2 linked regions of the Ovis aries genome follow. The protein of the gene in region 2 interacts with the protein of the main gene of each other region in a pairwise test. Links are inferred from orthologs where the notes say so. Each region holds a gene or a part of one and is shown on either strand. Other genes may lie near its edges. The genes, in order: AP2S1 and AAGAB.

Evidence for each region.
Region 1: the proteins of AAGAB (region 2) and AP2S1 interact in binary tests that used the Homo sapiens proteins (3 or more experiments, as listed by UniProt). The link is inferred for Ovis aries from reciprocal best matches to the Homo sapiens genes AAGAB and AP2S1.

Annotation. Positions count from the first base shown.
Region 1 is NC_056067.1:53,704,443-53,708,272, reverse strand, and holds the start of AP2S1 (AP-2 complex subunit sigma), read left to right. Parts: upstream 1-873; 5' UTR 874-888; coding exon 889-1,161; intron 1,162-3,564; coding exon 3,565-3,714; intron 3,715-3,830. UniProt on the Homo sapiens protein: Component of the adaptor protein complex 2 (AP-2). Adaptor protein complexes function in protein transport via transport vesicles in different membrane traffic pathways.
Region 2 is NC_056060.1:14,000,516-14,004,328, forward strand, and holds the end of AAGAB (alpha- and gamma-adaptin-binding protein p34), read right to left. Parts: intron 3,464-3,813; coding exon 3,359-3,463; intron 2,992-3,358; coding exon 2,857-2,991; intron 2,236-2,856; coding exon 2,192-2,235; coding exon of another isoform or gene 2,158-2,191; 3' UTR 409-2,157; downstream 1-408. UniProt on the Homo sapiens protein: May be involved in endocytic recycling of growth factor receptors such as EGFR.

The sequences.
Region 1 (3,830 bases), on a different chromosome or scaffold from region 2:
CACTTTCAGGCCCTTGCAAGGGTCAACATCTAAGAGTGAGTGCCTTTTAAATTTTTGTACCTTGGGCACATTGCTTACTTTATCCTGGTCCCAACCCTGTAGATGATAGAGGAGTGCAAGAACTGAAAATGATCTCTTACCTCTTTTTGCCCCTACAGTTATTCAACACCTATGTGTTAGTTCTTCTGCGAATACCACACTTTTAATTTACATCCAGGATATGTTTTGTTTTTATTATGGCAAGTCTGCCCTCAGTAGCAATACCTTTATTGAGTGCTTACTATGTGCCACCGTGTTCTAGTAAGGGGTCCCCAACAGCTGGGCCGTGTAAGAAGACAGGTGTACCTGTGAATAGGAAGCAAGAAGACCCCTATTACATGATATAAACAGTGAACATTCATGATTTTAACTCACGTTTATTGAGCGCTTACCATGTGTTGAGCACTATGCTAAGTACTTGGGAAACTGGCCGAAGCTTTAAAGCCACCCCAGTGAGGTGACCCCTTGACCACTTCTCTTTAACAGATGAAGAAATTGAGTTAAGAGGTGAAACTGCTCGCCCAAAGTCACAGAGCTAGGGAATGCGACGGCAGGATTTGCACACAGTTCTGACTTCCAAATTGATGCTATTAAACCACTGTCTGTCTCCCAGAGAAACACTCAACACATTTTAAACAGAGCACTAGGTAAGCACGGAAACATAATTACATTTCCCAACGCTGTTTTATTTAAAACAGTTATTCCCAGCATGTCCTTCTCGCCTAGGCTGGGAGGTGGAGGGAGGGCTGACGGAACTACTTTTCCCAGGATGCAACTCTCGTCTCGCTGGCTGTCAGGCATGTCGGAAACTGTAGTCCTCTGAGGAGATAATAACCCGTGGCTCCCAACATGCATTTGGAGCCTGAACCTTGGCGTAGGAAAAGCCCAGTCGCGCGGCATGCTGGGAAGCGCGACCGGCTCTTTTCCCGGGTTGCCTCCCCGACGAGCGAGCCTATTTTTTTTTCAGGACTACAATTCCCAGTGGGCTGTGCGCGAGAGGGCGGGCGAGTTCTTCTGCCGGAAGTCCGCTTCTACGCTTGGGTCCCCCAACAGCTGCCGGAGCCGGAGCCACACAGAAGCCGCGGGACCGGGGCCACTGGGGTCCGGACGGGGGTCGCCATGGTAACGAGGGCGCGCCTACGCTGGGGACGGGCGAAGGGTGGGTCCACGTGCAGGTACTCCAGGCTCGGTGGGATACTGACAAGCCGCCCCTGCAGCGGTGCGATGGTCTGGGCCGGGCGCGGGCTCTCGGGATTGGGGCCGATCAAAGGCCGGCGAAGGAGGCAACTGGGGGTGGTTCTGGGCGCGAGTGTGTACTGGGGTTCTCGAGGCTAGGGGGGAGCTTTTGAAGACCAGGTGCCAGGGGAGAGGCCTGTACGGGAGGGAGATATTCGAGATGGTTGGAGGGTTTTGAAACTGGGAGGCTACTCATGAGGCAGGATCTCAGAAGCTGGGAGAAGGAACTGGAGGTGGGGAGGGGGCGTCCCAAGCGGAGGGCTTTCCGGGAGTGCGTCAGAAGAGCTGGAGAAAAATGGGAGACGTTGAGATAGGAGAGAGGGGGTCTCTAGGGGCAGGAAGCCGATGTTGCAGGCGGAGAGAGGGTGTTGGAACTGGGTGGGATACTGCTGGTGAGAGAGTCTCAAGGATAAGAGACTGGACCCTGGAGACAGGAAGTACTGTAGGGAATGGGGCTTTAGAGTTAGGAAAAGTGTGCTGTAAGAGGGAAGAAGGCTTGGAGTAGGCAGTGAATACTACACATGAATGGGGAGCAATGGAACAGGTCTCTGCAAGAGGAGGGTTCTCACAGGGTAGGGAGTAAGCATGGAAGTGAGAGGTGGAGAGGGGGTTTGGGGAACAAGGACTGGGCATTGGAGCTGGCGCCAATCCCCAGGGATGGGGCACCCTGACAGAGAGCCCTGAAACTGGGAAAGCAGGAGTCAAAGCAACTCCGGGGGGGCCGGGGGAACTTGGAGGTAGAGAAGGCTGGCGGGGGGCCGGGGGGGAGGTGGGCACTGAGAGGGGACATCAGAGGGGCGAGGATACAGAAAGGATGGGACTTCTCAGTGTGGATTCCCTGGGATGGAGAGACTCTGGTTGGAAGGAGAAACAGGAAGAAGTGTATGAGGGAGTTCAGGACTCAGAGACAGAGCTCTCCCTTAGTTCTATAGCCTTGCTCCCATCTCTCCTCCGATCTCCTCCATCTATCTCTGGCTCTGGCCCCCAGGCTGCGGCTGCCTGGTGTGAGTCCCACCCCCACCCCATGCCCTTTGCCTGCCTGCCAGGACCCCTGCCTTGCTAGGAAGTGGTTTTCCCTGGCTCAGCAGAAGGGGTTCTTGGAAGGAGAGTGTAATATCCTGTTCCCGTCCAGCTCAGATGAGTTGCGGGAGGAGGGATGGAGTGTGTGGAGAATGAGGCTTACGAAAGAGAGCAACCCCTCATGACCCGGTGGAGGCTTCCACAAGTCAGGATAAGGAGATTCAGAGCAAAGCCTTTGGATTCCCAGCTCTGCTTTCTGGCTGTGAGACTTCCATTCTCTGAGCCTCGATTTCTTCATCTATAAAATGGACATGAGCACACCCATCTCCAACAGAACTGGGCTCAAAGACAGACTTCCTAGCTGCATGCACTTGGCCCATGATTTTCTTAAAGTCAAATAACAATGAATTATATCGCTAAGAACTAATATTTGTATAATGCTTAGTATGTGCTGGTCACTGTTTTATCCCTGCTGTGTTCATGAACTCGTGCAACAGTCTCATGAGGGAGGTGCTCTCATTATACCCATTGTGCAGACAGTGAAACTGAGGTCCAGAGAGGTGAAGTAACTTGCCTACAGACTCACAGCCAACAGTGCCAGGATTCATATGGGCTCTAGAGTCTGTGTTTTTAGCCACTTGGTCAAATGCATCAGTCATAATAGTTAATTTTATTGAACACTCAGTATATAAATGGGACTATACAAAACACTTCTGAGATCAACTTGTTCGGTGTTCACAGTAGCCCTGTGACAGTTGAGCTGGCGTTTCAAAATCTTAAAAACACCTCAGGTCTCCTAGGCATCACTGATGATAATTGCAGCTGACACCTGGCTTGCCTGTTAGTGCCAGCCACTGACTAAATTTATAAACTTATTTAACCTTCAAAACACCCTGACAAGGTGAGTCTTCTAAGGAAAACTTGTTTCACCGTGGGGAAACTGAGGCGTAGAAGGGCGGATCTTTTGTCCAAGGTCAGGGAGACAAGACTTGGTGGAGCTTGGGACTCAGCGCCCTAGAAATGACTGCAGAGTTGGCCAGTGGATGAGAGATCACTCCACGGGGTGTTGGAGGGACCTGGGACCAGAGCAGGTGGCCAGGTCAGCCTGGCTGGGCTCAGGGGAGTGGCGGAGACCCTTGGAAGGCAGGCAGCCGGGACACATGGACCCTATCTTCCCCATGGGGCAGGGTGGGGCTGTTGGGCAGGGCCGCCCTGCACTGGCTCGCCCACCCCACCTCTCTCCCTGCCTCCTCCTCTTGCCATCCCCAGATCCGCTTCATTCTCATCCAGAACCGAGCAGGCAAGACGCGCCTGGCCAAGTGGTACATGCAGTTCGATGATGACGAGAAACAGAAGCTGATCGAGGAGGTGCATGCTGTGGTCACTGTCCGAGACGCCAAACACACCAACTTTGTGGAGGTGACAGCTACCCCCACCCCTGCCAGTGCCTCCCACACTCCCCCGCTTTGTTCTGATGCCCCCCTTCCCAGCCTCAGATGGCGATAACCTCTCAGACTCTCCTTCCTCCCTGCCAT
Region 2 (3,813 bases):
TTGTGCCAGACGCTGTGTTACACAAATAGAGAAATGTTTAAGGGGGAAAAAAGCCGAGGCTCTTGTTTTAAATCCCAGATGGACAGTCCATAGTAACTTGTGGTGGCATATACGTAGGTCACTTCGGATAGTCTCCAATTTCTATCGCACTATTAGCTCATGATCACGCTTCTTAAAAGGGCCGTTGGTAGCTACTACTGTATACTTTAATCTCACATGTCACCCAGAAGGGGCCAATACCCTGAGATAGCTGAGACCTTGAAAACATGGTATTATACACACGAATGGTAGATTTAAAAAGGTGAGTTTGACGAACAGATTATTGCTATTTATGCCTAATCCAATGAAGGAAGGCTCCTCCTCCCGCCTGCCCACATCCTCTACTAAAAAACAACAAAACCATAAAAATATACATAAGCAGGCTTTATAAATAAATCACATTTTAATCACCTGGCTTTGTTTAATCCACAAGATCAAGTTCACAGCTTTTTATAGTCTGTTTTCCCAAACCATGTGACCTAATGTGTTCTCTGAAACCTTTCATATTTTAAGAAAAACTTGTTCCACCTTTCATTTTGCAACCCCAGAACTGACTTTCCCTACATTCCCCATCAATGGCCAAAGCAGTCACCTCAAAGAAACAGTGCTGGAATGGTGGTAAACTACAGTCTCAAAGACCCCCAGAATAGTTAAAAGAAAAAGAAAAAAAGTTATCAAGGAAGACAGCCTCCAGTTTTCCCTGGAACGGCCCTCCCCGAACATCGCACTCGCTGAAACCTTCCATCCTGTGGCCGCTCTGGCCAGGACCCTGGAGCATTCCATTCCTTCCGCCATCTGCAGCAGGCTCTGCAGGGCTGAGAAGGTGTCGCCGAGACAGGTCTGAAATTTGTTTCTGCTGGCGACCCACGGGGTTCACACCCACACCAGGCCAGCAGCAGCTCTCAGCCCGTGTGCCCTGAGCCAGCCGAGAGCCACGGCAGCTCTCAGCCCGTGTGCCCTGAGCCAGCCGAGAGCCACAGCAGCTCTCAGCCCGTGTGCCCTGAGCCAGCTGAGAGCCACGGCAGACGGAAGGCTCGTGACATGCATCTCACAGTCCCTAGACAGACAGAAACAGGTATCATTTGCTGTACTTCCCACTCTTCTGGGAGTTCTCTCCAGTGGAGGTCAGTTTCCCTGGAGCCGAACTCCTCAGCCCTGGAAGGAACACAGGTACTGTGGGATTCGCATGCCTTCCCACCAAGTCCCACTTAGGTGTCACTAGTTTGGCAGAGATCTCTGGAGTTCAGAGAGAGAAGAGGAAACACCCCTTGTTCTGAGGGTATCAACTGTGACAACACATCTCTGCCATCTCAAGTAGCAAACTCTAAGGAAGAAAAGTTTCTACATGGTAATACTAATGCAAAAATCTCGGGCCAGGATCATACCAATTCAATGGCCTATATAGGAAATTCCTTAGGTTTCTCTTACCCATGCCCCACCCCTACCCCTGCCCACAACTTGGTTGAGAAGGGTTTATTTTTATCCCCACCAGAGTAGAAAACCTTTGCATCATTTATTATAGTCTAAAAATTCACACTGGTTTTTCAATACTTTCTACCAAGAGGTCAGATACTGTATTTCAAATGAAATACGCAGATGCTTTTTTTTTTTTTCGCTAGAGACTAACCTGAGGGCCAGTGGCTGACCTATAATCTGTGCTACAGCACAGATTAAACGTGCAGTTTCTTCCTTTCCTCCCATCAAAAGCATCAAACCTCGAGCAGCAAGCTCCTTGAAAGAGAAAACCAGAAAACTCCTGATCTGCAGTGATCAACACGAACACAGGGATTGCTCCTCAAAAGACTGACCAGGGAAGCTTGGTGGTGGTTTTTCTTCTTTAACTTGGGCAAATCACACAGGCCTTCGAGGCTCACCCCACTCCCATTCCTAGAACAAAAAATGTTATATGAAAATTTCTCACTCCCTTATAATATACTGAGGGAGAAGAGATTTCTGCTTTACCCTCTACTAAAAACTAAAATTAACGGGACCCTATAAACAAACCAGGCAGCCAACATGATGCTGGTAAGCTCAGCAAAAGATGACGGGGTTAAGGAGAGAAGAATCTCAGGGAGAGAGTGCTAGGGTCCTAGTTAGGTAAGTCCTCGCATGAATAGTTCAGTGCTCTTCATCAGATGAAAGGCCTTCAATTTCATCTCTGTCTCCCCCAATTGCCATCCAGAAGGCTTTGGCCACCTGTGGAGAGAAGCAAGCAACGGAGTTCAGGCAACACCTAAACTTCAGCTCGTTTCATGTCACACACAGAACTGATTAAGACTTAAAACTCTTGCTCTTCAGTGCTCTGACAATACCTATCAAACCCCTGAACACCCTGATCCAGGACTTCTAGACTTTATACTGAGGATATAATCAGAACTGTATAAATAAGTGACATATAAGGGATATGAACAACTTCACTACAGAAAAAAAAAAAAAAAAGGCACATGACTGAAATGTCCAAAAGGGAAGTAGATAAGTAAGTTATGACACAGTCATACAATGGAATACCATAAACCATATACATTTCTTGCCAAGAACATGTGTTGGTAATAACCAACCCAACCCAAACAAAATAACTAAGAGTCTTCCAGCCCAACAGCTAGGAAGGCAAACATTCTGAGCCTCAATGTTCCACATCACTCAACATACACTGGAAAATCCTGGCTAGATGGCAGCAACTAAATATTCAAATAATTATAAGTGAATACCCAACAGAAAGTTCACAGTAAGACGCTTTAGCAGTAAACGAGTGTGACATGTAATTCTCGCAGCACTGGGCCTGCAGTAGGTAAGTAAATACCTGACTCAATTTCTCACCTTTTCTGCATGCATCTTTCTTTGCTCGTGAGGAAGCGTCGCAGCCTTGTCTAGGGGGAAAATACATCTTAAGAAATGCATCTAATTGCACAGGAGAATCTGGAGTGCATAGATGTTCTAACACTAGAAGATGGGCTGCAAAAACACATGTTCATGGTGGAGTCATTACAGCTGTTAGACAGTTTAAGGCTTCCAAATTTTCCAGATGGGACTGATGTGAGTACACTGGTAGGGATCTTACTGATTCCATGTTAATGAGACAGACTGAAAGAAACAGACAGGCAGGAGAAGGAGGAAAAGGAAAAAGAAAAAGAATGAAAAAAGAGGAGAATTTTCCTAAAGAAATTTTTACCAACAGAGGATGGCACAGTCCCACAGTATCTACATTTCGCAGATGAGGCCAAAGCATGGAATGCTATTAGCAGTTACAAAGTAAAATCCTACTAGATAAAACAGAGGAACATCACTATGGAAACCTGTAAGACCCAGTGGATCCAATTACCTTTCATTTCTTTTAACTTTGAAAACAGTCTTTCAAAATTCTCCAAATCTCCTCCACCTGTAGTAAGACTGGCAAGTTCTTGAATGTCCAGGTCTAACATGGGATCTGCAATAAGGATTTGCCACACAGTATTATGTATGTGCTAAATACAAAGAATCCTAAAGCAGTCAATCTGGCTTGGATGCAAGTTACCACTGAATGAGGGCCCAGCATGGACCAGCTGTACAGCTCCTGGTGCTGCATCCTGCCTGGCTGCTAGGGGGCCCTCACAAATGAACAGGGACTCTTTTTATCCTTGAAATAACAGCAGTGAGACAAAGAATTCTGTTTCTACCTTTCTTAAGAAAACTAGAGTACAGAGACAGGTGATCGTACTCTGGGTCGCCACTAGTAAGTGTGACCTTGGCTTCAGACTTACGCATGTATGCATGCTCGGTCCTGACTCTTTGGGATCC